Linked DNA regions of Arabidopsis thaliana. The protein of the gene in region 1 interacts with the protein of each later gene in a pairwise test. Each region holds a gene or a part of one and is shown in the gene's direction. Other genes may lie near its edges.

Evidence for each region.
Region 2: the proteins of ATFP8 (region 1) and AT5G58750 interact in a two-hybrid assay, tested with the Arabidopsis thaliana proteins (one large-scale study listed by BioGRID).

What each region holds. Positions count from the first base shown.
Region 1 is NC_003074.8:3,706,520-3,722,527, reverse strand, and holds ATFP8 (Ras-related small GTP-binding family protein), read left to right. Parts: upstream 1-10,910; 5' UTR 10,911-11,130; coding exon 11,131-11,144; intron 11,145-11,225; coding exon 11,226-11,298; intron 11,299-11,410; coding exon 11,411-11,458; intron 11,459-11,542; coding exon 11,543-11,590; intron 11,591-11,663; coding exon 11,664-11,735; intron 11,736-11,927; coding exon 11,928-12,083; intron 12,084-12,416; coding exon 12,417-12,520; intron 12,521-12,935; coding exon 12,936-13,038; 3' UTR 13,039-13,397; downstream 13,398-16,008. Other genes in the region: AT3G11770 (Polynucleotidyl transferase, ribonuclease H-like superfamily protein), read left to right, coding at 436-1,038; AT3G11760 (structural maintenance of chromosomes flexible hinge domain protein), read right to left, coding at 1,405-2,346, 2,427-3,098, 3,186-3,344, 3,664-3,999; FOLB1 (Dihydroneopterin aldolase), read left to right, coding at 6,624-6,672, 6,976-7,159, 7,250-7,457; AT3G11745 (uncharacterized protein), read left to right, coding at 8,017-8,122, 8,194-8,274, 8,356-8,399, 8,511-8,552; AT3G11740 (LURP-one-like protein (DUF567)), read right to left, coding at 9,139-9,282, 9,386-9,616, 9,892-10,101; AT3G11720 (Polyketide cyclase/dehydrase and lipid transport superfamily protein), read left to right, coding at 13,807-13,847, 13,928-14,026, 14,196-14,335, 14,413-14,543, 14,630-14,738, 14,809-14,848, 14,936-15,025, 15,126-15,225 and 3 more. UniProt on the Arabidopsis thaliana protein: Protein transport. Regulator of membrane traffic from the Golgi apparatus towards the endoplasmic reticulum (ER).
Region 2 is NC_003076.8:23,722,446-23,737,650, forward strand, and holds AT5G58750 (NAD(P)-binding Rossmann-fold superfamily protein), read left to right. Parts: upstream 1-6,142; 5' UTR 6,143-6,440; coding exon 6,441-7,601; 3' UTR 7,602-7,697; downstream 7,698-15,205. Other genes in the region: AT5G58720 (smr (Small MutS Related) domain-containing protein), read right to left, coding at 1-529; Mik (pfkB-like carbohydrate kinase family protein), read right to left, coding at 1,182-1,358, 1,995-2,879; AT5G58740 (HSP20-like chaperones superfamily protein), read right to left, coding at 3,491-3,577, 4,175-4,317, 4,622-4,670, 4,785-4,933, 5,035-5,083; DDB2 (damaged DNA binding 2), read right to left, coding at 8,296-8,515, 8,625-8,821, 8,904-9,152, 9,263-9,392, 9,493-9,584, 9,662-9,782, 9,913-10,001, 10,105-10,227 and 3 more; cPT4 (Undecaprenyl pyrophosphate synthetase family protein), read left to right, coding at 11,951-12,367, 12,454-12,521, 12,603-13,050; cPT5 (Undecaprenyl pyrophosphate synthetase family protein), read right to left, coding at 13,310-13,754, 13,832-13,899, 13,974-14,211, 14,682-14,839.

The sequences.
Region 1 (16,008 bases):
ATCCAAATCAACAAAAGCATGTTCCATCCGATGAACTTATTTGGGGACTTTCCTCTGTCTAATCCACACTTTATAAAAATCGTACCTTTGTATTGTGTTCATAGAACCCAAACGCTGATTAGAGTAAATTTGTTGTTCTGGCAAAAAACCCAATTAGCTCTGAATGCGTCTACACATTTCTTGAATCGGTCATTCTATTGCTGCTACACACTCAAAATCGATATTTCAATGTCTTTGTGAATTGGAAAACATATTGAAAATCTTTGCTGCTTTATCAGTTTTTCATTCGATTCATCGCTGAGCACATTCACAACAAAAACAGATCACTGATTATTAGAATTGTATTGATTCTGAGTGTCTCTCCAAGCTAATGGATCTATATGATGTTGTGTCTAATGTGTAATGTGAATATGTTTCCAGTGATTTCAGACCACAATGGCCTCATTCGATGGGCAAGGGTTTATGATGGTTGATAATTCTTGGGTCCAGACCAAAGCCATTGATGTTGAATCAACAACCGATATCTCTCCTTACCTTTCCAAGATCCTTGAAGATTCCGTCTGGAATGGAAACCGGTCCATTGTCTTTGATGTGTATTGGGATGTCAAATCAGTTAGCACAAAGTCCGAATGGCGTCTATGCTCAGTGAAGTTTAGCACTAAAAACTTCTGTCTCTTCCTCCGCCTGCCGAACCCGTTCTGTGATAATCTCAAGGATCTTTATCGCTTCTTTGCTTCCAAATTTGTCACATTTGTCGGTGTCCAGATTCAAGAAGACCTCGCTTTGCTTAAAGAAAACCACGGTATTGTGATCCGAAGCTCGTTGGAGATTGGGAAACTAGCTGCGAAAGCCCGAGGTACTCCAATTGTTGAGTTCCTTGGAACCAGAGAATTAGCTCACAAGATTCTTTGGTATGACATGAGTAGGCTTGATTCTATTCAGTCCAAGTGGGATGAAGCCAGCTCTAATGATCGTCTTGAAGCTGCTGCCATTGAAGGTTGGCTTATTTTCAATGTCTACGATCAATTGCAGCAGTGATTTTTCGTGGCAATGTTCTTCATGTAACTCTTATGTTAACCTTCTTGATCAAATGGATTTGTGAGATTGCGCTTGATTGCGCTTGATTGATTCATGTTGTGTATTGTGATGAGTGAACAATACTGTCTGAATAAAACATGCCCGGCCTTGTCTTTTTGTCTGAAGATTTTGAGATTATGGTACAATGCCAAAATTTTAAGCTGTAAAAACATAATGAACCAAAAAGAGACAGCGAAATAGAACGAGCAAAAATGTAAATTCCTTGGATAGTTAGATACAAACTGGTTTAACTCTAAATCACATTCACAAGTTAGTTACAAAACTTACAAGAAACTCAACAAAACGTTAGCAACTCTGCCTAGGCTTTTATAGACTGGTAATCTCTGCGTTTGTGGTGTAATGAAACTCGATCTGTAAACGGTGATGAACAGGCGCGGTTGAGGCTAATCCTTTCTTGATATCCTCTTGCAACTCCCTAATTGGTATGGCCGCCAAGAAATTCTTAATATACTCTTTACATGACTCCTTCCCTCTGCTCAAAATCTCTGATTCAGGTTCTGATTCGGATCCTGCTTCCTCTGTGTGAAGAATCTTGTGGATGACGGTTTTATGGTCGAATTTCAAAACGTAAGCTTGATCACAACCCTCGTAAAGCCTTTCTCCAAGTGTGTCAATGATATAGTAAGCTTCTTTTTCAACTTTGAGGACAAAGAAGTGATCGTTCCAACTCACTATGTAAACGTGCGGTGGCGAATCATCATCATAGCTATCACCATTCGCCGAGCTTTCCTCCAGACTAATAATTTCAGCCCAAATACTATCGAAAGACATTGCGCCTTGTAGAAACTCGAATCTACCCTCGTTGATCATCCCATCAGGATGGAAAAACCCAACAAAGGATTTTCCGGGGATAACGGTTAGAGGCCGTATCTTTGCTTGTAGCACGGTATCAAGATCGAAATGCTTGTCAGGGAATTTCTGCATATACGTTTCGTTTTCGCAGAGGTTTCTCCATTCTAAAGAACCTTCTCTGATCAAACTATCGAACTGAGACTTGATTGGCATGAGATTACCATTCTTCTGAAACCAATCCGCAATGACCGCTACAAGAGCAGTGCATGCACTCTCACCAGCTGCTCGCTCGCTTCTCTGGTCAATAGAAGCAAGAAAGACACTTGTCTGGAGCTTCATGTGTCCATCTCGGCTTATCACTTCTTTCTCCTCCCAACTTCCAATCGCAAAACTGTCTTCTCCAAACTCCGAGAACGAAGTTCGTGGATTAGCAGATGAATCTTCATCAATCTTGCTCTGCATATAAAACACATTCAAAAACTGAGAAAAACTGTAACTAACTAAACTGAATAATGATGCTACTTATAAGACCTTACCCCAAATGGAGGATGAGCTTCATCTGAGCTAAGTTGCCTCCGATCAAAATCAATGTCATCTCCACCTTCTTCTCCATTATCCTTCTTTAACAAAGGCTCTCCTTTGGATTTCGGAGACCTAAAGCTCAACTTCCTCTTTCTCCATGGCAATATGCTACGCCGTGGAAGCAGTGATGCCTCATACACCAAACCCGCAGCGGAATCTTCAGCATCAGAGCAACCTGCTCCAACGTCTGATTTCCTGTGGCTATAATAAACCCAATCTTCGTCTTCATCGCTAACTTTCGCGCCACAGTTTAATGAAGTTCCCACACCATTTGCATAAGACAAAGGTCCATAAGAGAAAGATTTTCTCATACTCATCAATTCTTCTTTGCCTTCATCAAAATCTGTCTCGAAATCATCAAGCGATTCTGATGATTCAAAGCTTGAGAATCTGCCTTCTTCTTCCCTGCAAGCCTTCTTGGCTTTCCTTGTAGAAACAAACTCTGTGAAAATCTTGACTTTTCTGAGACCAGCTTTGATTGCAGAGACATCCTCCTTCTCAACTGAGTGAGTTTCAGTAGGCTGTTGTGGCGATGGAGATGGGAGAGGCAAAGGCACAACCGCGGTTTGTGCTGCCGAGTCTGATGTTTCTGGAGTAGTTCTAAGCTCAAGCAGGCTCAATGATACCTAAAGGAACAAGAGATTCTCAAAGGTCAAAAAACCAATATCCAGCCAACAAAGTAGAGAAGTGTCTAAAGAGAGAAGTAACCATACAAAGAGCAAAGGATGTGTCTCAGAGGCCACACAAGCAGAGAGCGTAAGTGGTATGTTTATATCGAATTCTTTTTTATCGGTCACACACGCGTACTCAGCAAGATTCAAAAATGCCGTTCCAACAACAGGAGCTTTATTCTTCTGCCCTTGCTTCATTCCCTAGAAACAAAATCAAATATCAATCTTCTTTATCTTTGAGGATGACACTAACAAACAGAACCAATTACCTATACTCTCAACCTCTACAATAGAAGGAATCTTATCAAGGTCTAGTTTAAAGTCTTTAGAATCAGCTGAATCAAACAGGTTGAGACATTAATTGGTATCAAAATCTTACAACCAATAAATTCAAAGAGTCTCATGATTTGATGATTATCCAGCTAGGGTTTCATCTACAACCTAATTCACCATTTCCAAAGTTTCAACATTTGAATCTAAAACTTAAATTTCAAATCTTCGGATACTGATTAAAACTTACATTGGTGAAGACAGAGAAAGTTATCTCCCAAGGATAAAACAAACTGTCCTTGTAAGAAGTGAGTGAACATAAGCTCTGAAACTCTTCATCTTCCCATGAAACGACATCGCTTTCTCCCACAGCTTCCTTGGTGAAATTCCTCTTCACCGACCTTCTCAAAGATCCCAATGTCGCCTTAGGACCTTTCCAACGAATCTCCACCGTTAATCTATCTTTCTCCGGTACACCTTCCCTCACCAGATCCCAACCCTCAAGCTTCTTCACGGAAAGCTTCACCTCGTATTTCCTCGTAACTAACGGCGGCCATGGCCGCCACTTCATCATCTTCACCACCATTTACGCAAAAACGAAATTTGGAGTCGTCAAGAAAAAAAGGAGAATCACACAGAAACGTAACAAAACTCTTTAGGAGTAGTTGAGAAATTTAGGGAAACCTAGAGAGAATCTAGAAAAAAAAAAAAAAAAAAATGGTTTCTTTGCCTTCAATCTAGTTTATCTAAGAATAAAAATCAATGCCCAAAAATAGAAAGTAGATTTTAGACCCAGAAATGAGAAATCTATTATAAGAGGTTTCGTGGAAAAGAGAGATCAAAAAGTAAGAAAATTGAAAGCAAAAATAACAACTTGTTGAAATTAGCTTCAGCTAAAAGATTGCAAAAGTTAAGCCGTGACGAGAGAAGAAAACAGTAGAGATAGAAAGTGGCGCACAAACACAACACAAGCACAAGCGTGTAGACAGAGAGAGACAACGAAGAAAGTGAAAAAGAAAGATCCCAACTTCACAGATCTGTCCCTCTCTCTCTTTCTCTAACGATAGAGCCCAGTGGCTGACGGATAGAACGAACCAAACCGGCGTTAAACCAATGCGTGGACTAATTGAACCGTGGTTTAATAAATCCGGTTTATATTGAATTCTTTGATTTGATCATATCCTCAACGTCACGGGTGGGGGAAGCGGCTGCTTAACGGCGTTAACAAATTCCGTTTTTTGTCTTTTTCTTTTACTTTTGTTTATCAATTAGACAAAAATAAATTACTTCAATTTTGGTTGCATGTGTTGGAATCTGTAGACCATGTGTTTTTGTCTCATGATTCTTTAATTGAAACTTACTTACCTTTCTTCTTGCACTTATTATTATTTATCCAAAAAATTAGTTTCACTTTACATGATTATTTATGGGACAACATGGTTCATGCCACTAAATGTGGTGGTCACTGGTCATAGTTATGCTTCACACTAAAGGAACATACGGTATCTTTGCATTACGCATGGTCATCCGTTTTATCCGATTAAAATTTGGTCCAAAAACGAGTTTTGTAAAAAAAAAAATTAGGTGTTACTTTTGCAATTAGTGTATAAAATCTAACTAAAACAAAATTCCAAATGGAGCCACAATAGTGAAAGATTTTTTTTCTTTTTATACATGTCATGACTTTATAAATTATTATTTTATAAATTAGCACTAAACTTTATTCTTTATCACACAATAAACTAGATCTCTAAAATTCAATTAATTATAATGTTAAATATGTATAATTTAAATAAAAATTTACATAAAGCAAAATGTCAAGTGGATCCCTTGAAATAAAGTGAAACTTCATTTTCCTTTAATATTAGCACTAAGTAGCAATCAAATTGATTTATACTAGGTACTAGATATTAACCCGCGGTATACCGCGGGTAGGTTTATATTTTAGTTAAATTAAAAACTTTTTTTGTAAAGATGATTTATAAATATATGATATTATTTTATTTGATTTTAAATGTATAGTACACTGCGAGTATTATATATTTTGTTGATATTGTTTATATTGTTTAGTGTTTAAGATTATACACTTGTATTTTAATTGTTAATTTTAGAGTTTCATCTATAGCATACCATCTTGTATTAATATCGATCTAAACCTGTCAATTCTAAGATTTTATAGCTTGTATTAAAGATTGAATCACATCATACACATTAAAAATATCTAATATGTTATTAATTATTGTAGTATATAAGATTATAAATTTTCAAAATAATATGTATGAAATTGAATAAATATACAAATTATGACCCGTTACTCAGTCGAAAGTTTTCTTAAATCTATTTTTAACCCGTTATAATATTTTTTCATGTATAAAACAGTTTATATTCGTTTTTAAAAATTCAAATCATGGTATATGCAAAATAATTCTAATTTTTTTTGATATACCGATGATATGATGATATTATTTGTTTCGGAAAAATAGAATCATATAAAGATGAGAAGTGAAGTATAATAATTAATAAAAAATTAATATGATAATTTAGATATCAAATCTAATATGTTGATTTTGATTGGTTACTTTTTTAGAAATTAATAATGTATTTCGTTTTTCTAATTAAATTAAATTAATTAAATTAGTATTTGACTTTTTAATCCTTAAAGAGATGAATTAATTTACTCTTTGAAATTTTATTTTTAATGGCACACCTATGTAATTAATTACAAAAATTAAGGTTACATTTAAAATGTACTTCCCAAATAATATAGTAGGATTAAATAGACAAAATGAGAAAAAAATTGGATTATATTTAATTAAAAAAAAAAGAATTTTATAAGTAACACTTTGATAGAAGAAAAATCCAGTTACTATAATATTTAACTTTTACTCTTTAATGGATAGTGATGAATGAATATACAAATTCTTTAAAGGAAATGAATCCAAAAGAAATTAATATATTTTCTAAAACATACATATATCAAAGGTAATAAATATTTTTATTTTTTTTCGTCGAAACAGGTAATATATATTATTGAAACAAAAAAAGAAGAAAATAATAAATATTTCTTAAAATTTGGGCCTATAAATACATGAGATTGGGCCACCATTACCATCTACTTCGTTTTCCTTCAAATTTAAACTGATATCCTTCGATTTCTCTCCATCTCTCAGACGCAATCTAAATCCAAAATCTATTGCTGCGAATAGTAAGATGCATAGCTCACTGGAGACCACGGCTCCGGCGACGTTGGAGCGACGAGGTATATACAAATTTCCTTTTAAAATCGTATATCGGTGGCAAAAAATCTCGAGTTATGGTGGTTTATAGTTTGGTTTAGAGTCAGCTGGATGATTAAGGTTGAGAGATTTAAATTGTGTTTAAGTCAACAAAATAATTTAAGATAGTCCTTGCTTAGATTTTTAATCTTTAGTCTCTTTTCTGTTTGCATTCCTGTAGAATTATTTTGGCAGAACCTATGTTTGTGTTTATGAATTGTCACAAGACTCTTGCTTTATGTTTCAAAGACTTATATAAGCAGTTTTACGTGGAACATAATCACCAGAGTCAAATCTTGGAGACAAACTGATACTAAAAGGGTTGAAATTTTACGGTTTCCATGGAGCGATTGCTGAAGAAAGGACACTGGGGCAGATGTTTCTTGTTGACATTGATGCGTGGGTGAGTCTGAAAAAGGCTGGTGAATCAGACAACTTAGAAGATACAATTAGCTACGTCGACATTTTCAGGTTAGCTAAATACATAGTATCCCGATTTGCGTTCATCTTTAAGTTGTATAGTTATGATTATGTTGTTGACATAATTGATATTGTTTGCAGCCTAGCTAAGGAAATTGTTGAAGGGTCACCAAGAAACCTTTTGGAGACAGTCGCGGAACTTATTGCTTCCAAAACGCTTGAAAAATTCCATCAGATAAACGCTGTTCGAGTGAAGCTCTCAAAGCCAAATGTTGCACTTATTAAGAGCACCATTGATTATTTAGGGGTCGATATATTCAGACAGCGAAACACTAGTTCAAAGAACTGAATAACCCAACAAAACTTTGTGTCGGGACTTATATCCATGAACTTCTCTTACACATCTTCATATCCAAAAGCTTTGAACTATGTTAAGAGCTAATTTAGATGTTCAATATTTTCTTTTCTTTCCTTTATGTTCTTTCGAAATTGTCGTTATTTTCTTAATAAATTACAAAGAGTTATCTTCTTAAAAAGTCTGTTTATGTTTATTGTGTCTGTTTTTGTAATTCTAAAGCATCATTGCCCATTTAGGTGACCAGTGATCACACAAAGAGTCAATGAGCATTTTCTTTTTGGCCGTTCATGTGTTTGGTGTGGTGAAAAAATGAACGTGTAGAAACGGAAGGAAAAATTCCCTAACATAGTCAAAGACTTTGATCAGATGGGTTTGATTGGGCTAACAAGTAAAAATAAAAAGTGGCGGGTAAAGGAAAAAATCGGGCTATGGCCCAATAAAATAGGCGGATAAGGGAATAGGCAGGCCCATTTAAACCCTTTGGTTGGAAGAGAAAGAAAATCACAAAATCAGAGGAGGAGACGAAGAAGACCGAACCCTATTTCCGACCATGTCGCAGCCGAATCTTCTAAGATCCGTCATAGCGCAGGCAATTCACGGAGAGAAATCGGTTGTGTCTCGACGCAATTTCTCTTCTTTGCGTAGTAAATATGATGGTAACGTTCTCTGATTCGGCAAGAAATCTATCAAACTATCGTGAGTGTAATTGATTTGCTTATTTTAACAGAGAGAGAAATGTTTGCGAAGACAAATAGACGTCGTTTATTGGCTTTTTTAGTGGCTACCTCTCTCAGCTTCCATCTCTGGGGTAATGTTGAGTTTTTTTGCTGTTTTGTGGTAAAGAGCAAAAAAAAAACAAATTCGTTGTAATTTTTTTTTCAAACATCAGAATTTACCAAGAAGAAAAATGCTCGGCGTGAAGAAAAGAATGAGGTAATCAATTGTTTATTATTGGTTTTCAACATTTGGAAGATTTAATGGAGTTGAAATACCAAAAAACTTAAATAGAGAAACTTATACATTTGTGCTTTCTCTGATTTGCAGGCGAAGAAGGTGCAGCAGGTGGATCTGGAAGAATTAAAATAAGAAAAGATTATGTTTGATGCAGTGAACAAAACGAATGTTAATGTGTTTAGTTACTTTATGTTGGATTCCCTTTGTGTTTAAATCCAACATAACTAAATGATATATTCATAGCAGAGGAACTATCTTGCTCCAGATATATAGAATTAGTTTACTAATTGTAAGGAGACACATTTCATTGGAAAGAAATGGGGACAAGTAATGTTCCAATTCCTCATCATCACCCAACATGTTGCCATATTTAGATCCGAGTATGTTTTTTGACGCATCACTTTGGCATATCATTTCTTTATCCACCCCCATTTAGATTCTATTAAAGGAATCTCCAATGGCTGAAACTTCAGAGATGGTAAAACTAAGTTTTGAGACTTTTGATACCTGAAGATGTTTGTCTACCTCCACAAAAAAGTTTGGATTTGTCTTTCGCACATTTTCTTAAATACGGTTTCACTATTATAATGATATAAATTGATAGGCCTTGGTGAAATAAATCACTAAAAATATTGTAATAATTAACATATACTGTACTATGTTTTCGAGTATTATTTAGATTTGCAACGCACAAAAAGAAATTAGTTGATAACTTAATCTAGTCTTCTGAATCTTCTCGGTTAATGTCATCGAGGATTACAATGAGAGAAACTATAAAAGCAAAGTCAACATTCGGATAGACAGTAACCGAAAAATTACTCTTCCCAATTAATATGCTTTGTGCCGTATGTTTCTTGTGCATCTGAAAAAAACAACAAAACAACAACAATGACTCAATTAACACGATCATATAACTAGCTAGTCCGGTTTATACAATTTACAGACAATTTGATCAGTGTAATTACCTGAGCAACAATGGCATCAGATTTGCCGGCGTAGACGACACAAGACCGGTCGATCCAACTTCCTTTAACATGGAAGTCGCAAATCTTCATTTCTTTATTATGAGCCAAAAAGATGTCTAGTTTTGGCTTCATTATTTGAATCATTGAAGATCGTTTCAATGTGTATAATAGATCACTTTGGTCTGTACTCTTCCCTCTATATACTAGCCACCTATCATGCAAGCTCACCTTCTACAATTTTTATGTTATAAGAAAAAAAAGTTGTGGATCAGATTTTATTGGATGATCTATGACGATTTAACATACTCGAATGAGTGATGATGATTTTGATATTATTTACAATTAGTTGATAGACGTATTGAAAAAGTGTACCTCCATGCAAGTTATAAGAGCATGTTTGTGTATATATGATTTGCATAATGAAATTTTTTTTTTGTATCACCATGAAAAAATTGTGCCTCTCCATGCAAGTTATAAAGAATTGTAGTTGATAGACGTATACTTACATTTTCTCTCAAAGTCAAGATTGGAGTATCGTATGCGTCCAATAAAATCCTTTTGTCGCTGATGCTAAACAAAGGTTCCTTGACTTTGAAAAGGAGATTGCCGTTAACGTCCGTGACGGCGAAGTTACCATCGGTTAAAGTCATCACCTTCCGTACGATTCCCAACTCGATAGGGTACGGTGCACAGAAATTAGGGCTAACGATCGCCATCTTTTTGAAGATCTCTCTCTGTTTTTTTTTTCTCTTTTACGATTCTTGTATAAGGTGGAGATTTGTGTTCGTTTCTCAATCTTTTTAGTTATTTATAATTAGGATATTCCAAGTATTGTGTGAAACAAATCTTCGTGTTTTTAATTTTGTGTTTTTGGCTATATATGTTTTGTTTATTTTTAGAACTTATCTTATTTTAAATCTGCTAGCCAAGTTGCAAGCTGCAAACACGTTAGCGTTACTACACTTTTTTTTTTTGGTTATATAAAAAAAAATAGTTTGATGGAAAAAAAATATTATAAATTGAGGAAATATCTTCTTTTTTGCCAGAAAAGGAAATTAGAAGAAACGTAAAATTAGAAGGTAACTTTTGGTAGGATTAATATGACTTAATTAAAAATGATATGAATGGAGTATGAAAAAGAGAATGATTTTGTTGATAAAATATACTGTCATATAAAATTGGAAAATCCATGCATATTCAATCAAAGTTTTTCTTTTCTTTTTCAATATACCTTTTTAATCCGCTTTAAATACTTCATTATATTTAATTCCTCACATCTTGATCACGGATTATAAATCAAATTTATGTAAAATTATCTTCTCTAAAAAAATAAAAATAAAAATTGAGACATATACATGAGTAATAAAATCCAAACCTTTAATAACAGGGCCAGGACGTTAACGACGGTTAAGTTAGATAGACAAGATTTTGAGCTCGGCCCATTTATCAAAAAGCCCAAATAAGAAGACACACACACGTAAAGAAATCAGTGAGACAAGGTCAAAGCTTCTTTATTGTCTCGGGAAAAACAACAAGGAATTAAACAAATATTAAAAAAACTGGGAACAAAAAAATCCAGTAGAAGTCGTGGGGTTCAATGTTCATGTAAATTGATTGACACGCCCCCTAAACCCAAACCTCTCTTTTTTTTTGTTTCTTATATTATAGAGAAAAAGAGCTTTTTCCCGGAAAGTTGTTCTCATCTTGGAAAATCAAATCTCGGAAACGCAGTCTTCAGCTAAATCATGAGCAACGAGTAGTAAGTGTTTCTCTCCTCCTTGAGAGCCATTCTTTCGTTTTCGATTTTACTCACACCGATTTCGATTTTTTGTTGTTGTAGCGATTATCTGTTCAAGCTTTTGTTGATCGGTGACTCCTCTGTTGGAAAATCGTGTCTTCTTCTCCGATTCGCTGTGAGTTTGACTTGATTTTGATTCTTAATTGATTCCGTCGTCGAGAATTAGCTCGTGTTAGGTTTCTTCTTTTGTACTGTTTCGTGATTTTGGGATTTGTTGCTATTTCTAGGATGATGCTTACATTGACAGCTACATAAGCACCATTGGTGTTGACTTCGTAAGTTCATTCTTTGACCTTGTTTACATACATGATCGAGATTGTTTTATCCCAAACTTACTTATAATGTGGTTGGTTTTGCAGAAAATTAGGACGATTGAGCAGGATGGGAAGACGATTAAGCTGCAAATTGTGAGTTTTCAATTATATAATATGTTTTGGATGATTGTGTTTACTCAATTTTACTGTTGCTGCTCTCTTTTAGTGGGATACTGCTGGACAGGAGCGTTTCAGGACCATCACTAGCAGCTATTACAGAGGAGCTCATGGAATCATTGTGAGCAATCTTTATATTCGCTTTCTTACTTGCTTTTTTTTGGCTTACCTAGACTAGTGTTATGTCCCTATTTCCATTTCTCATTTTAAGTGGTTTAGTCTGAGATTGGTATTGTAATGTTGGAATATGAATCATTTTAATGTTGTAATCCACCCTTTAAGTGATGAACCTTAATGATGATAATTGCAACAGATTGTTTATGACTGTACTGAGATGGAAAGCTTCAACAATGTGAAGCAGTGGTTGAGTGAGATCGATAGATATGCCAATGAGAGTGTTTGCAAGCTTTTAATCGGTAACAAGAATGATATGGTTGAAAGCAAAGTTGTTTCCACCGAAACTGGAAGGGTAAGCTCACATCCCTAGTTAAGTTCCCAGCAATTTTTCCATTTATGATTTTGCTTCTATCTTATGCATAACATCCTTTGCATGGTACTTTCCCCTTTCCTCATTTGATCATTTCATGGTTTCGCATATCTTTAACCATGTGATGATATTACAACCATTGAGATTGTTATACCAGAATTTACGGCTATGAATGTAGATGATCTCTGACCAAATTCCCAAAGCTAGATGATCTGAATCCACCGAGTAGAAATTGCTTATTTTTGCAGCAGCTGTTACTCCTGATACAACTGTGAATTGGTTTTCTTACATTTCATCTACTCAAAATCACTGCAGGCCTTAGCAGATGAGCTTGGAATTCCCTTTCTTGAGACCAGTGCCAAGGATTCTATTAACGTTGAACAGGCATTCTTAACTATTGCTGGCGAGATAAAAAAGAAGTATGTTCACTATCTTTAATCTTTCGCCATAATTTTTTCTGCGAAGATTTAACATAGATTAGGTTTAGTAAACTTGTTCTATTACTATATTCCTTGATCACCATTATATACATCAAATCATTCTCTGTGTTTTTTTCTGCTGCAAAGCATCTTGATTCTCCACTGTTTTCATGAAATAAACTATTCATGTAAAGTTTCAAATCCGAAGTGTGCTATTCTAGACTTGATGACTAATGGAAAGCAAATCAACAAACTAACTGCTGTATCCTTGTAGCTTCCTCAAGCTTGTGTACTTAACTTCTGTTGATAGATTTTCCATATGGTTGATATCTTGTATCGACATTTGCTGATTCAGTCTAGTTTATGTAACATGGAGAATTGAGTCTAATCATATCGTAACTCATTTTCTTTGCAGAATGGGAAGCCAAACGAATGCAAACAAGACATCTGGTCCTGGAACTGTCCAAATGAAAGGTCAGCCAATCCAACAGAACAATGGCGGTTGCTGCGGTCAGTAGTTTAAAAAATGTTTTAATCAAAACTATCTGAGACTCTTTTTTTACTTCCTTTTTAACTAAGTGTTGTGAAAACCAATGGCTGTTTAAAACAACTAAGAAATGTAATATTCCATGTCGCTGTGTCTTGAATAAGCTATGGTGTTAGTTGCAAGATACTTCTCTTTAATATAGTTCAGTCTTGACTTTGACCACACAGGGATATGCAAGCAACTCATGGTTTTGAATTTTGATTGTGTATATATATTAAAAATAGTGATAGATATTCGTTGCTGTATAGGCTGGACCATGTTCATTACCATAGATATTTAAAACTTGCAGCTAAGTCCATAGAATGAGGAAAAGCAAAAACAACATATGAGAGATAAATCTCAATAATGTAAATGCTGAATTATATATACTTCAAAGATACGAGTCCAAATCAAATTCTTCCATTTTCTTACGCTAAAGTATACGGATTTCCAAAAGAAGATTTGTTCTATTTCGTTTACAACGCAATTCTAGTTTATAATAACTCATCATATACTCATGTGGTTTCAAAATACCCCAAATGCATGTTTTTCTAGAAACAATCAGTTTTCTGATTTTGATGAAATCAATCATACCTAGATTCATTCATTTACTCCCACAATTTTAGAAGAAAATCTCATTCCTGCACATCCTTATTTAAAAAATAAAATAAATCAAAAGTGATCTTATTTGTTTGTGTTTAAGTTTTATAAATTCATTTTTTTTTGTTTGAATGATAAAAAGACAGACAGGAAAGATCTCATGACAACGACAGTTAACCGACCTGGTCCCTCTAAAATAAAGTCTGACACAGACTCTCAAACTTTGTCAAATCCAATTCTTATTATTATTGGTAATGAGACTTTTTCTTCACATTCTCCAGATATGTATATTCCCGAGAAAATGAGGGAAAGTATCTTCTAATCGGGAAAAACATCTCCACGTTCCTTGCCCGTCTCGTAGGTTACGCATCAGCAGCTGGGTTTTGTCTGGCAAAACTATAACCAAAAGCTTCCTTTCTTATAAATTGCCTTACGTTTTAAGGTGTTCTCTTCTCACTTCTTCCCCATGATTCATCTTGACTCCACAAATTCAGGGCAATCTTTGATTCTCTTTGGTCTTTGATTTGAGGATTAATTTGTTTTCTAAAGGTGTCTGCTGATTCAATTGAGTATGGAGAAGAAACGAGATGTTTCTGAGTACAGAGAGAGACTTAATGAGACCTTGTCGTCTCCTGAGCTCATTAATGAGCAAACTCTTAAAACCCTAGTCAGAAAACAACTCAATGAAGGTTTTTCTTGTTGTTGATTTGCTATATACTCTTTAATTTTGCCTTTGCTACAATGTTTTTTTTTTATGTTTTCACAGAGTGTAGTGTTGATATATTGGATCAAAGAGTAGCTGCTTTATCCAGTACAATTGAGAAGCTTAGGAGTGTATCAACAAAGGATCAAGACTTGTCTAAATCAAGCACCGAGGCATCTTATGGTGATTGGAAAGTATGTTTCTCTTTTGGCTCTATTGGACAGTTTTTGTGAAACAGAATTGTCATAATGTTAGCCAATTAGTGTTTTCTTGTTTATAGGTGAAACATGATGATAAAGATTGTCGTGTTATGTACCGTGAAGGACTTAAAGGAAGTCCATTTCATACATTGCTCGTTGAAGGTTGCACTGATGGGACTATCGAAGACTGTAAGTTTTTCTATAGAGTTTGCACCGCAAGAAAACAGTTTTCGATTTGTATCTAACTATGTTTATACAGGTTTATGTGTATGCTGGGAATCATCATTCTATGAGAAATGGTGAGAGTTTAATGTTTTGTTTATGGAATTGTCTATTGTTTGCGAAATTTTTTGGTCTTTTTGTTTGATGTTTTCTATGTCTTTCAGGTGGCCAAAGTTGACATTTCCGTCATTCAGGGTCTTAGAAGCTAAATGCTTGCAAAAGTTTAGGATTGATGAACAGATATGTTTACTGAGGTTTGTTTTCACAAATTGTAATAATGTTTGTTCCTACAGTTACATTTTCGTGAAGCTAATCCAAAGCTGAAAACTTTGATCATATTTTTTGGGGAGGTAGGGTGAAAGCACCGTGGCCACTGACAGACAGAGAAGCTGTTCTGCAGTTTTTCGTATTCGAATACTTTAAAGATGATTTAGTCATCATCCTACTTAACTCGGTAAAACCATGTTAGCTTTGTTTTTTTGCATCTTAATCCAGTTCTTAGTGATTTGACAGTATCCTAAACTCTTATCTATTAGTACATCTTTAGATCGAAGTGGAGAGCGGCAGTGTAGCTGAAGTGAATGCGGTGAGGATTGACTTCGTAGGCGGAGTTGCGATACAAAAAGTGACTCCAGAGAAGAGTTACATAAGGTGAGTGTTGAGTGAATGAGAACATGTTTCTATAACCAAACATTTCGAATGTCTTTGGCGGGTTTTTTGAATCGCTAAACTTTTGTAGATTTATAGCGGAAGTGGATATAAAGCTGGACTTGGTTCCTCCATCTCTTATTAATTTTATGTCTAGGCAGCTTCTTGGTAACGGTTTCAAACTTTTCAAGAAGGTCAGTTCCAGTTTTATTTACTTCACAAAAACTTGATATGCCTGGTTGCTAGCTTGTGTGATGTTGTGGTGTTTACTTGAATGTTTACAGACTATTGGTTCGGTGGCTGAATCCGATGATTACAAGACAGTTTTAGCTGATCCATTGTATACTCATATACGTGAAGCTCTGTATTCTAGTGATAAAACTGATGAAATCTGCCAAGTAAATGAGCTTCATAGCCAACAAGGAAGAGATTGTGAAGAGAAAGAACCCAAGTTGGAAGCTGATGATGATATGGAAAAAGAGAATGAGACTCGAGACTGCGAGAATGAATCTGTACCTTGCAAAAGAGATGTTCCTGAGATCGAGGAAGAAGAATGTGTTGATGATTTAAAGGAAGAAAACAAAAGTTC
Region 2 (15,205 bases), on another chromosome or scaffold:
GCTCTTTAGACCGTTCCATCATAGGAAACTCTTTTCGCACAGGGTTTGGCTTCAAGTAATCCTTCGCAATCACAGAAGAAACCATCCCTGTAGCAGCAATAACTCTACTCTGCTTGCTTCCCTTAAACCATCTATCTCTAGTCAAATCTTCGCTACAGCTAGAACTTGACCCTGCCCCATACTCAGAGGTAGACGCTGTTTCCTGACCCGAAGAACCACTCGCCACCGAACTCGTCGACGGATCATCACCGCTTTCCACCAGATCCGATAAAATCTCAGCGGCTTTGTTCAGATCTCCGCCTGCTTCCTTATAAGCAGCCATCGCTTCCTCCATTGAAACCGAGCAAAAGGCTTCCATTAACGATTCGATAAAATTTTTTCCAACGTTTTCTATCTCCCTCTTTCCTTCACCGTCCTTCCTCTCTTCCTCCACATCTTTTTTGTTCCCGTCCGACGTCGTTCCATCACCGGAAGGTTTCGCGGCGCAGGATCGCTTCTTCTTCTTCTTATGCTGGTTCTTCTGCTTCATTATCGTACAATTATAGATGAAATCGTGTCAACGCCGCTTCAATAGAATCTCTTCCGATCTGCAGAAGAAACTTAAACCCAGATTTCCGACGAGAAGCGTCGGAGAGAGGGAAGAGGCGTTTTAACCGTAAATCAGGAGTTAGTAATGGAGATGCCAATATCAGAGGAAATTTTTTGCTCGTCCAGACTTTTGATTGGGAATCGGAATCGCCACGTCAATCCACGCGCCTGATCGTGACCACGTTTTAAATCCACGCGCACGAATCAAACACCGAACACGGTTTCCTCCTGATTGTACATATATTGAACCGGTTCAACTATGCACCAGTCAAAATTAGATCTCCCACGTTGACTTTCGTAATTTTATCTCAGATTTGTTTTTGGTTTTTATATTAACTAGATAATGTGGCAACATGCGAATAGCAAATCATCTTATCCAAAACTTTTAAAACAAAATTTGACATCTTCATTTCGAATTTTGAAACGCGGAGTTGATAAACAAACTTTGCGGGAACGACCAGAAAGAGCGTTTGAAGACGCTGGTCAACGCGTTTTATACATTAAAATTTCCAAAATTCATCAACGTGTTGAAGCAAGCTTACACAACTCAGAAGAGCTTTGTTAGTAAAAAAAAGGTGATTCAAGATTCGTATTCACAGGGACCGATCATCACAAGAGTGACCATTGACCAATAACTTTGGTTGAAGTTGAGAGTCTACGCATGAAAACCGAGCTGGACTTAGACGCTCATGGAACTCGTTGTGATCGTTGTTATGGCTGCTAGATATGTTACACTGCTTCTTCCTTCTCTGTACCTCATCCTTGACTTTCTGCAAATCACAAAGACATATGTCACATAGAAATAACCGATGAAAGGGATGAATCCTTGTGCAGTGCAAACACAAACGCTATAAATCTTCTAATTTGCTTAATGTTCACTTGCACTAGCCAATGGTTCAATTATTATCCAATAACGCCCTCATTTCAACAGATACAACTACAAGAGATACACAGAAACACTCGCAAATACATCAAGAGATCCATACTTTTGAATTCTCTAATTGCTTAACCACATTGTTCGGTGAATGCTTAAACAACACTTTTTCCTGCATCTACCCTATGTTGAATGAAACTGCTCCTAGATTAACAATGAAGTAAAACAAGAAAAGACTCTCTCAGCAGCTGTGACTCGACAGAATCTCAAACAACAACTGTGAAGATTTGACACATTTTCAGATTGGAAACCTATCAACATCAAATACAGATTCTAGTTCACCCGCAAGATATAGGTTTGGCTGTATTGAAAGTAAGCTGCAAGATGTAACAGAGTTCTTTTGCTAGGATTATGTTAAAGACATTTGCATATCACTATCATCGGCTCTAAAAGTTCTTACTACTGTCTATTAGATTTGCAAATCTCTCACAGCATGCAATTCAGTAAGCTAATACGAGACCAAAAAACAAACCTGAAGCATCATCAAATCGAACTTTGGCTGACCAATATGCTCTACAGTGATGGAACCAAAGAGGTTCCCTAACAATGCAGCATCAGGAACAGTCAAACCTTCAACAAGCCCAACAATCAAACCTCCGAGAAAGCTGTCTCCGGCACCGGTAGGATCCACCTGCTTCGCCAAGAACGGAGGAACCGTCATTTCATCATCCTTATGATAAATCCTACACCCTTTTTCACCATTAGTCACCACCACACAACACAAGTGCTTCATTTGTTCAACATCCATGAAAAGAGCTTCGTCTGACGAAGCTTTCAAGAATCCAATTCGATGCAAGATGTGATAAAATCCACTTTCTTTCAAATCAACAAGCTTCACAGCTCCGTCAACAGGATCAAAAACCCTAATCAAAGCTTGAATATCCACAGCAACAACGTCACAGATCTCCACCATTTTCTCAAGCGTCTCCGGTAAAATCTCGCCGCCGACTCCAACGGCCATTCCGAAATCAAATCTCGAATCGGGTATATCCGAAGGAAGAATCGGATCACATGCAGAGACTCTTTTCAACACCCGATCAGCATGACCGATCCCATCGATTCCCAGATCGAAATACGCCTCGAAAACTGTTGTTTCCTTCTCCGGAGCCACGATCGGAGAGTGGGTGACCTCGTATCTGAAGTCGTGTCCTACTTTGGAGACCAAATCGCAGGAGACAGAGGAAGAATCTAAGACATTAGATATGAAAGAGGCGGCGCCGCCGAGAGTTTCAGCTACGACGGATCCGTTTTGGATTAAAACGTCGTGGCAATAATTTCCGACGATGAGAACGCGGCGATTGGGAATCCGACGCGGCGAGTGAGACGTTTGCTGCGACGGAGGAGGATTCAACGTCATGATCGCGGCTGGTGCAGAGGATCATCGAGAAAGTGAAGCAGAAGGAAGAAGAAGAATCATGGAATTAGTAAGACGAAGAAGCCGACCAACGAGAAGAAGAAGAAGAGACAAAACTAATGGCTATAAGCTAATACGTAACGTCTTGAGATTCGTTCCCTGCTCTCTGTCTTATGATATATGTGTCGCGAGGGAGATGACGCGCGCCTAATTTTCCTCCTTTTTTTTTTTGTAACCGAAATAAAATGATGTTAAATAATAAAATAGAGAATATGATCATTTTTCTCCAATTTTATTTTGTTCGAATTCCTTATTCTCCTCCACTTATCCAAGACAATTTCTTTTTGAAAAAGCTGTCACATACCAAAACAAGATTCGAAGCGCACGGCGGCTCAGTGGACTTTTAGTAGATGCTCCGATTCTGTTGTCGGGAAGAAAAGGACAACTAAACAGAGACGAAAGACGATTTATATGATTGCCATTACGAGTTATAGAAACAGAGAGTCAGGGGGTTTATTTATGAGACATGAGACATTTTGTTTAAGTCATGGTGACTTTTGAGTTTGTTATAATGGACATACTATTATAGCAACAAGAGTGGGACTATTATTTATTTAGTCAGAACGAATACCGCCCATGAAGCTCCTTGGATCTGGACAATTACCCGAGAACTGAGCTTGCGAGAAGTCGAATCCCGGGTTCTGCAAAAACCAACAGAGAAAGAACATGTAAAAGGAAAGTTGGTCGAAAGAGTAAAGAAAAGCATACTTGAGCTCAATACAAAGTAAATAGAAACTCATGCATACAAGCAGAAACAAAACCAATAAGACAAAGCCATTAAGGCATACATGAATCACACCCATGTGTGCAGTCTTGCCATGTTAATTTGCTCAATCCGGTTAGACTAAGGCTGAGCAATTTCATCCACCATAGCTTTACTATCACCAGCTCTATGCAGACTGTTTATTCATGAAACTGATAAAAATCCGGCTACACTATAGGTTTACTATCACCAGCTCTATGCAGACTGTTTATCCATGAACACAAAAGATTCACTACTTGAGAGAGACATAAGAAACAAAATAAGAGAGCTTGAACAAAGAAAACAATCATGGGACATGACTCATCCAAAACGATCATTTATGGCAAAGTAATCATACTTTGACATAGATTCATTCTACTCAGTAGTGGTGCCTAAGATTTGCTTTGGAGATCAATTAGAAGACCTAGAAAACAACATTTATTTTTTCAAAAGCAGAAACCATATGAAACCAAGAGGACTTTTACAGGTAGCTAACCTCTTCTTGAAACCTCTGGAGCATGAGCCGCTTCTGCTCAAGATCAGTGGCGTAAGGATCTAACTGACCCTGTCCCAGAATCGGTGATGCCCATGTTTGCCCTTTCTCCCTCTTCTGCAGGGTAATGTGCATTATATCATCCTCTGCCAAATCAAACATAACAATCCAGATTAGCAATCAGTGCCAGACTATGAACCTAAAAAAACTATGCCAGTAACTTACATACGCTGATAATATAACCCAAAATATACTGTACATTCCATCATCCCTCCATTAGTCTCAAATTTTCCACATTCCAAACTATATGTCCCACTATTTATACCAAACTCAGATCACATTTCCAGGTTCAGTTTATCCTCTCTAGCAATAGTGAACGGGTCTAAAAACAGAAACCTAACCATCAAAAACAAGCACCCAATACAGACACAAAAACAAAAAATGGAGTACCTAGAGTCCAGAACGAGCAATCAGTCTTCACAGGAGCACTAAGATCGTGCTGAAAATTGACAAAATTTAGACAATTGAATCGAGTTATATATACCACATCGAATAACTCAGATTTATGAGACAAACGGATCAAAAACATTGAAAGATAGCGAAAGAAACTGACATTGAGATAGGGAGGGTTGCCTTTGATGCCAACTTCGATATGTTTCGACTGGATTTTGCAGTGGAATGACTTTGGATGAACATTTGGCGGCAAAGTTATGTACATGTTCACTTCTTCCAGGGTTTGATCCCACTCAAATACCTTTTGACCTATAACCATCGGAAATCGAAGAACATTCAAACCAAATCTCGTGAAATGGAATCAGCTGAAATTAGAGAAATAGAGCGAGGGGATAGAGAAAGCGAGAAACCATTGTGAATGAAATCGTGTCTCTTCTCTGGCGCAAGCTTCTCCGCCATATCTAGGGTTTTCTTCTCCGTTCCCGGCGAAATCGATCACCGTTGATAGTAGTTGTTCTGGTTCCTTTTCAATTCGTCTCAACATTGGAGGACAGGCATTTATGATTCAGTCCTTTCATAATCATGTATTTTCTTTTAGGGTTCTTAGTTTTAGTTATTTACGCTTAGATCCCTTTTCTTGAGGTACACTCCGTTTCTAACTTGGAAGTCAAAACTCCATGCCGTTTTATTGAAGTTCTTCCAAGTTCCAAGAAACATTTTTTTGTTGTCGCCAAAGTAGAACACTCTTTCACAATTCCACAGAAAATTTAAAGATGAGAAGTGGGTCTATTCAATGCATAGAATACGGAGGAAAACAAAATTGAAAGAAGAGTAATGTGTAGGTCTACCACAAAACATGGTCCATTTTAAAGCCTTAAACGTAGCCAAGTGTGTTAGTTTTTTAGCTTTTCAATGTCCTTTGGGACAAGAGATACACTGTACCCATTTCCCCCTTTCAGTTTCTTCAACGTAGACAGGGTAGTTATTCAATTTTCTCATATTAAAACGTTATACGTGATCAAAGACTTTGACTTATAACAGAAGAATAATTTTGATCAATCAAAAAGTTGTTTGATAATGTAAATTATGGTCTTCCATTTCGCTAATCCAAAAACTTACTTTCTCAATTCCATTGGTCAACTTGTTTCATTTGATGAAATTCGATATGATACATGTTTGGCCACTGCATGAATCGAACGACAGTTAGATCTCAAATCGGTTTGGTTTCGGGTACATGAGTTCTAGTTATGAAAAAACAATCATCACGACTCACGAGTGTATATATAACTAGTTCATTGAATAAGTTGTCGGCTAATATTCGGTTTTGACCGGTGAGACTGTTAACTAAAATGAATACTATTAGAGTAGAGACCCACTTGAAGTGTACTATAATTTTAAAAGCCGGCCAGCAACCACGGGCCAGACTCTGCCTCTCGCAAAATCTTGACCGTCCGATTGAGAACCGGACAAAATGCTGTACACGACGGTTCCTTAAAAAACTATTGTAACAACTGTTGCTTTCGTAACACATTCCAGAACCACAAATTAAATTGATAAACACGTTAACATGAAACCCAAAACACTGTTTGACTTTAGTCTATTTTATCTTAAACAAATGTTGCTTCGTTATGCTACATCGTAGCTGTGTTCAAAGCAACTTGCTTTGGATAATTTATCATAGCCTTTAAAACAGGTAAGCATCGAGTCTTGAAACTATCCTAAAACACGTTGAATCAGTCCCACAAACTTTTTTTGTCTTTACTCTAAGCGTTTATATGAAGCTTTGATCAAAGTCCATAACTCACTAATAATCACAATGGGGTCTGAAAATGGCAGCTTGATGAGAAGAAACGAAGTAGACGAGAATGTAGCGTTAATCTTTGGCGTCACCGGGCTTGTGGGTCGAGAGATTGTTAAGACGCTATTAATGTCTAAACCAGGATGGAGAATCTACGGCGTAGCGCGTAACCCGGAGATCAATTCCATGACGAAGATGTACAACTTCATCTCCTGCGATCTGCTTAACGCATCTGAGACTAAACAGAGGTTGTCTCCATTACAAGACATCGTGAGTCACGTGTTTTGGGTCACGTGGTCTGGTGAGTTTCCATTGGATACCGACGAATGTTGCGTACAGAACAAGACGATGCTGATGAACGCTTTGGACGCGATTCTCCCAAACGCTAAGAGGTTAAAGCATTTCTCGCTTCAAACGGGGATGAAGCATTATGTGTCTTTGGTGGAAGAGACAATGGCTCGTGGAGAAGGTTCGAGTTTGTATTATTACAGCGAGGAGTGTCCAAGAAAGAGCTCTGGGAAGAATTTCTACTATGTTTTGGAGGACTTGCTGAAGGAGAAGATCACTCGTAGTTCCGTTGTTTGGTCGGTTCAAAGACCTGGTTTGCTAATGGGAAGCTCTTCAAGAACTCTGTACAACTTCATGGGAAGTCTTTGTGTTTATGGAGCGATGTGTAAGTATTTGAATCTTCCTTTTGTGTTTGGAGGAACAAGAGAATGTTGGGAAGAGAGTTACATAGATGGCTCTGATTCGAATTTAGTCGCGGAGCAGCATATATTCGCTGCAACAAGTGGGAAAGTACGCGAGAAAGGGGAAGCTTTTAACGCCATTAATGGAGTAGGGTTTACTTGGAAGGAGATTTGGCCGGAAATAGGGAAGAAACTTGGTGTACAAGTTAACGAAACAACCATGTTTGATGAAGGTTTCTGGTTTGGGAGAGAGATGGTTGAGAGAAAACATGTGTGGGATGAGATTGTTGTGAAGGAGAAGCTTGTTAGGACAGAGATTGAGGATTTGGCGAATTGGTATTTCTTGGATGCTCTGTTTAGATGTCCGTTTAAGCTTCTTGGGAAAAGAGAAAAAGTAGATAGGTTTGGGTTTAAGAGGAAATATAGAACCCTAGATTCGGTTTTGTATTGGATTGATGTGATGAGAGATGAAAAACTCATTCCTTTGTAACACATGTTGTACATTAGCAATGTAGATCACGGTATATATGTACTTGATCAATAATCCTCATGTAAGTTTTGTTTGTTTGAATAATGAGCTTTCCACAAATCCTTTTAAGCTAAATCATTAAACATAAATCCTTTGCAGTGAAATGCAATAGCTAAGTTAGATTCCAAGCAGTGGATAACCAAAATTCCAGTCAGGTTTCGTAAACGCGTCCGAACAAATGTGAATGTATTGTGACATATAATAAGATGAAGTAGTGGCAGACCATACTTGAGACAACAACAAGATGATTAGCTGGACTCAGTTTGTTTATCGATGTTATTGCATACGTAGTACAGATGAGTTTTGGCTGTCAAGATGACGTAAGAGTAAAGACATTTCATCCCATGTCTCCACTCTTCACTCAGCGAGATCAAGAATCATTCCAACAAGTAAGAGAAAACAGGGGAGAGTAAAAACTGAAGAGAAGATTCAAGATTGATCCATTCCACATACTTACTACAATTCATACTTAAGAATCACCAAAAAGGATTTCAAGAAAATGCCATACAAAAGCCGATCATGCGCCCCCAAAAGAAAAAAGAAGCAAAATTGCCGCCAAAGGCAAAACAGGGGATGCTACTAAAACAGACTCTGTACAAGAAAACCTACAAAAACAGAGTAAGTTAGTTATACATAACGACCTTCTTCACTCATATTAAGTTTTTGTCTTCTTGGTTGTTTTTGCTTGATACTTATTGACTTTTATGTTTTTGCCTTTAGAGCTAAATATGTCATCTTCATCGTCTTCATCATCGCTGCCACGCTTTTGCTTCTTTCCTTTCTTCTTGCTGTCACCATAACATATGATAATCTTCTTATCCTTCTTCTCCTCAACCATCTCTGTATTATCCTGTGGCCTCCAAATGAACAGCGACCTGCAAAACCGGATTTCGAAACCAAATCCACACCAATGAGAGATCAGTCAATAAGAAAAAGTGTCCACCAACGGTTACTATTGTAGCTGTTGGGTAATGAATCCCGAACCTTGAACTTCCTGAAGCTAAAACATCATCGCGAGGATGCAACTTGTTGACTGGAGTAATAGTTGTGATGTTTGGATCCATAACCTCTGCAACCAATTGTCCATTGCTTGCATCAATGAAATCTATTGGGTGAAGAGCAGTTCCGTTGTAGTTTTCACTGATGTAACGACCAATCACGATGAGTGACTCCGAGGTATCCTGCGGATGAACATATAACAAATGTTGAATAAAAAGGGGAATTGATGGAAAAGGAGAGGAGAAAGAGGTTAAAGTATCAAACCTTAGGGTCCCATTCAGCTTTGAATGGTGTCAAATGCCGATTGAAATCATTACTATGAACAATCTCTCGGCTTGGCAAATCTAAGTTCCCGAAGATAGAGTCCCATATTCGAATACGGTTGTCCTGACACGTCGTGAGGATTTTCGTGCCTGATGATGGAGAGAAGTAAGCAGAGTTGACTACTCGTTTGTGTGCAAGATCATGAAGAGAAGCTTTAGGTTGTAGTTTACGCATATCCCAGATTCGCGCCTGAAACCATAACCAGGAAAATCTATTAAACAAGTTCTGAAAGAATTCAGATAAACATCTAAACGAATCCAAAGTGACAGCATGATCTTGGTTTTGTTTGATAGACTTACAAAATGATCGTTCCCACAACTGAGAAGAAGCTCAGGCTGGACAGGGTTGCAGTCGAGGCCACAAACTTTGCTTCCTTGCTTGTGTATCAGAATAGGCTCACCCGTACTGTTATTGGTACGATGATCGATCCTTTTACAAAAGCAATCACGAGAAAATCAGTTTGGCACTCATTTAAAACAGTAACAAAGAGGCTAGTCTATAAACAGTTCAAGGGGATGAAATCACTTACATGTGAAGAAACCCAAAATTATCAGCAGCAAGCACTACACCTTTCTCCGAGTTTATATCCATACCGTACAGCATTTTCCAACTGTTTGCGCCCTATAAACCGATGATATGTCGTAATAAGTTAAATGAATCAGAGAAGACAAATTAGAGAAACGAGACGATGGTGTGACCTGCCATCCATCAGGGTTGAGATTCAGCAAAGTTGATGAAGTTCCAGTTTCCAGGTCAGTATAACCAATTGTTCCATCAGAGGATGCAGAATAAACCATGTCATCATTTGTGGGACTAAACCTGCAATACCAACAAAAGAAGATAAATTTGATAAAACAAAAGACATGAGCTTTTGTTTCCAGATACTATAATGCAGAAAGTAAAACCACAACATATACTGTAAGATTGAAAGCCAGATTTAAAAACTTACCGCATATTATTAACTTGAACAGAATGTATGTTTCCATACACATTCTTCTCATACACTTTTCCAAAATCCCAGACTCCAATTTGCCCTTTCTTCAGAGCATTAACCATAAGACCAACAACAGAATCGAATAAAAACAATGAGAAAATAAACGCAGAAAATTAGTTACGTATGACTTTTGTTTCATTGTAAAACCTTATCTCCAGAGAGAAGAATGTTGTTCTTTGTTGGATGGAACTCCAAACATGTAACACGTCTGCTGTGGTATCTAATAACTGCACAATGAACTTGATCCGGGATCACATATTTTGGTTTAATCTGTCCAGCAAAGGAAAAAGAGAAAAGATCCAGTCAAAAAATCTCATCAGGTATCAAAAAATGTTTGGCGCTTGAACACGTAAGGACTTACAGGAGGAATTCTCGGTTGGAGTTGGCGCTTGAACACAAAGTCAATAGGGTTCTTTGTATTCCTATGAGAAGTTGGGAGTATTCCGTGGTCAGTAACCACTCTATGAGGACAGGACATTGTGGTGTGGCCTTCAAGTGATGCAGTAGAAAGCGAAAACATTGAGTAAATTAACATTTTCTCCACTCACCATCATCAAAAAGCTCACATGTAAGCAAGAATCGATAAGAAATAGCAGGAGCTTTACCAGGCATTTTACACAAGAAGCAAGGCTTCATAGGACAATCGATATACGTTGCTCCTTTAAATCCAGCTTCATGGCCAGGCTGTTTACAAACCTATAAAACCACCATGAAACAACAACAGATACGAAACAATCAAAGCCAAACACCAAAATCCTCTGTCTCTGCATCCAAGTGAAGAATACTAATAAACAATAAAGTGAATTTCAGGCACCATTATAATGGGAACCAATACAGTGAATACTTCTAATATGTTCGAAATCAAAATCAAAAGTCATTACTTATTCCACATAAGCCTACTCAGAACTTGAAATCATAAGCCAAGTAAGAAAACTCATTAGAAAAGTTAGGGTTTTTAGAATAGCGTTACTTTGCAAACTTTCTTAATAAGCTTAACGGTAATGGGTGCTTTCCCTTTGGCTTTATTCTTCTCCAATTCAATTTTCCCTCCATTTTTAACCGCTTCATCTTCCTCCTCCGACTCCGAGAAAGGGTAATTATCTTCCTCTTCTTCTTCTTCTTCTGACGAACTTAACTCGGAATCTGTATCTCTAGCGATGACGATTTCTGGGTCCCTTTTTCTTCTGCTCCTCGTTGAACTCATTTTCGGTAAAAATCTCACGACCCGACAAAAGGAAGAGAGTACGAATCAAACAGTTTTGTTTCTTTTTGGGTTTGATACGACGCAGCGGACACAAACTAAAGCCGGTTAGGTCGATGACCGGTTTAATTATTTACGCGGATAAAAACACTTTTACTCCCATTTAGATTTACCATTATACCCCCTCCAGATCTTGTAATATGTTCCTGTAATAATGTGAGGGTATATTGGTATATAACTAACTATCTCGTGGCGGGAGAGGTTAAGACGTGGCGAATTACCGGCCGGAAGCACCATTCACGTGGCTCTCACGAGCAATACTAGTATTGGGCCTTTTTATTCAGATAAGTAATGGGCTATGGCCCAATTTTCATTTATCCCATATTTAAATTTGACTTACAAACAACATTAATTGAGGTTCTTTGCTGGTATGTTGACAAACAACATTAGTTGAAGTTCTAGGAGGAGGTTTTAATGCATTTATTTTCTTTAAGAAAAGGAAAATTAGGAGACGTGGACGAATAGGAACTCGTATAAACCACACAAAAAAGAAATAAAAAGACAGGAGCTTGGAATTTCTTAACGATAAAGTTTGTTTGTGGCGCTCAATTTCGAAAAAAACATGTCAACATCATCTTCTTCCACACCGACAAAACACGTCGTCGTTTTCAAACACTTACCAGAACCATCTGTGGAGGAAAGAAAGTTCCAACCTTCTCTGCTTATAATACAATACTTCCCCTATGCTATCAAACCTATCACAAAGCCTAGAGTAAAATCGATTCTCTTAAGATGTTATCTCTACGAGTTCCTACTCCCACTTCCTTCGATTTCCGGCGATATCAAGCCGGAGATTTAGAGCGGCGATGGCGGTTAAGTAGAGATAGCTTTCTCTCTTTCTCGCCAAAATTCGAGGAAAACAGAGGATTCCGATTCGGAGTCAAATCTTCCAAATCGGATGTTTCGTTTACGGCGGCGGAGGAAGAAGAAACTCTGCCGGAAGAGCTACATGCAGAGCTGATGCCGAAACATGTGGCGATTATAATGGACGGAAACGGAAGATGGGCGAAGAATCGTGGTCTTCAACCTTGGGATGGTCACAGAGCTGGCGTTGAAGCTTTGAAAGAGATCGTTGAGCTTTGTGGTAAATGGGGAATTCAAGTCCTTACAGTTTTCGCTTTCTCTACTGATAATTGGATTAGACCAAGAGTGAGTGACAAACCTAATTTTTAAATTTTAGGGTTTCTTTTCGAAATCTCAGATTTTGATGCGATTATGAGTTTATTCCTCTGCAGATTGAGATTGATTTCTTGTTTAGTTTATTTGAGAGATCACTCAAAACAGAATTTCAGAACTTAGCCAAGTAAGTATTGCGTATAATTTGTAATCAAGAAGTGTTTGTGATTGATTAATTATGTCTCAAAAGCTAATCTTTTATATGTAGGAACAATGTTCGGATATCGATCATTGGAGATTCCTCGAAACTTCCGAAATCTCTTTTAAGAGTGATTAACGAAGTTGAGGAAGTTACAAAGAACAACACGAGGCTTCAGCTAATCGTAGCGGTTGGTTACAGTGGGAAATACGATGTTTTACAAGCGTGTAGAGGTATCGCGAGGAGAGTGAAAGATGGCGAAATCGAAGTTGAGGAGATAGACGAGAGACTGATTGAGGAAGAATTGGAGACGAATTGTACTGAGTTTCCTTACCCGGATTTACTTATAAGAACGAGTGGTGAGCTTAGAGTGAGTAACTTCTTGTTGTGGCAATTGGCTTATACAGAGCTTTTCTTTGCTCAAGAACTTTGGCCTGATTTTGGGAGAAGCGGTTTTATCGAAGCTTTGATGTCGTTTCAGCAGAGACAACGACGCTTTGGTGGTCGTAAATCTTGATTTTCTTGCAAATGGTGTAATGAAAACTGAATATGATGTGTAATATACCTCAAGAACTATGCTTTTGAGATAGTACAGTTCCTTGTGTTGCAAGATATTTGTTTTAGTGATAAGTAACGACAAAGTAACCGCTGATTTTTATTAGCAAATTTTCAATTTACCGACATAAAGTTACAACAGCATAATGATCTCTGACTGTGGAACAAGTAGTTTGATAGAAATCTCAGATGAACATAACAGAACAGAGCGGAGCAGAGGATCAAACCCGACAGCCAAATCGTCTTTCCCGGCGCTGATACGAAACCAGGGCCTCTAGAAGCTTATCCTTATCGAAATCAGGCCAAAGGACCGGCGAGAAGAAGAGCTCTGTATAAGCAAGTTGCCACAAGAAGAAGTTACTAATCCTCTGTTCTCCACTTGTCCTAATCAATAGATCAGGACTTGGGAACTCAGTACAATTTGTCAGAAGCTCTCTTTCGATCAATGCCTCGTCTACATCTTCCTCTCGGATCAACCCTTTTTCTGATTTCTTCACAATACTCTTGCAAGCTCGCAAGATGTCTAATCTCCCGCTGTAATCTATTGCCAATATGAGATGCTTCTTCTTATAGCTTCTCGTAGCTTCCTCTATCTCTTGGACTGTTCGGAGGAGAGACTCAGGGATCTTCGTTAGGTTCCCGATAACAGAAACTCGAGTTTCCTCTCTGAAACAACAAGATTTTGGTAATCCATGAGCAGATCATTTGTCAACAAAAAAGCTCAATTGAGTTGTACTTTATACCTTTGGAAATATTGGATCTTGGACTTGAGGTAATGTTGGATCAAAGACATCAAGCACTTAACCTCAATCTTATTAATACCAACAAATCGTTAGAGTCAAGAGTTGAGTGAGAATGTAAGCTACATAGTCTGAAATATCACACCTTGTGTCTTCCCCAATTCTCTGTGGAGAAGGCAAAAGCTGAAACTGTATGAATCCCCAATTTAAAGCAAAGCTCGGAGAACTCTATAAGCCGTTTAGCTCCGGCCTCGTGGCCTTGTGACGTCAGCAATCCGGCCCGTTTGGCCCATCTCCGGTTTCCGTCCATTATCACTGCCACATGTCTTGGCATCAGCTCTCTTTGTAGCTCCTCCACTCCTACCACATAAGTTCCCTCGTCACTACACAAACACAAAACTAAAGCTACATTAGGAACGATCTAGCATTGAAACTGTGAATCTTAAGCGCATGTTGTCTATTTGACAATTTTGGAAACATTGCCAAAATCTTCTACTAAGCAAACTAGTTATAGTCTTGGTCACGCTCGTTTTCTTTGCCTTTTATATGAAACAGAGGAAATTTTCGTTTTCTTTTTTTTTTTGAACACCAAAACAGAGGAAGTATAACAATTAATTTCTCTGGCTTTAGTAGATGATTATCATTAAATAAAAAATTTCGTATGAAATGTTCACTGAATCTTATGCAATTCCATTTTCATGACTAGATTGTTTAGTTATATATGATGAAATTTTTATTCCTTAGATATGATTTGAGAAGCCAACAAACATAATGAGAAGCTTAGATTTTATGACCACTGTACATCAGGAAACTACTAAAACCTAAGTATGTTTTAGAAAAATTAGGAAACTACCGTTGCTCGTTGTCATAATCGTCTCTCGAAGATGTGATTTTGATGAATCCGAGTATTTTTGGCAAGGAAAGAGGGAACCAAAAATGGCTTGTGATGAAGAAACAAGAGATGATAAACAGAAAAAGGAGAGATAAAAGAGAAGAGAGAATAGACAACATTGTTGTGGCTTATGTTTTAATTTATTAATTTGGCTTTGCCTCGAGATATCTATTTGTTCGACTCATTGAAAGTTTCTCATATATAGAATCCAAAGACATCACCTGATCGATCAAACCTTCTTTCTCTTTTTCTACGTAAAACAGGCCGTACGTATTAAACTTGTACGTTGAGAAACTTATACTAAATCATTTTCAATGTTTAATCACTAATTAGTAGATCACTAGTATTTTTTATTCGTATGTCACCAATACGATGACATGTTATGTTTAATTTTTGATCAAAGATTCCTTAATACATCAGCTATTGATCCGTATTAGTTTATTACCAGACCCTTCCAAGAGTACTGATGTAATCGAACAAATCCA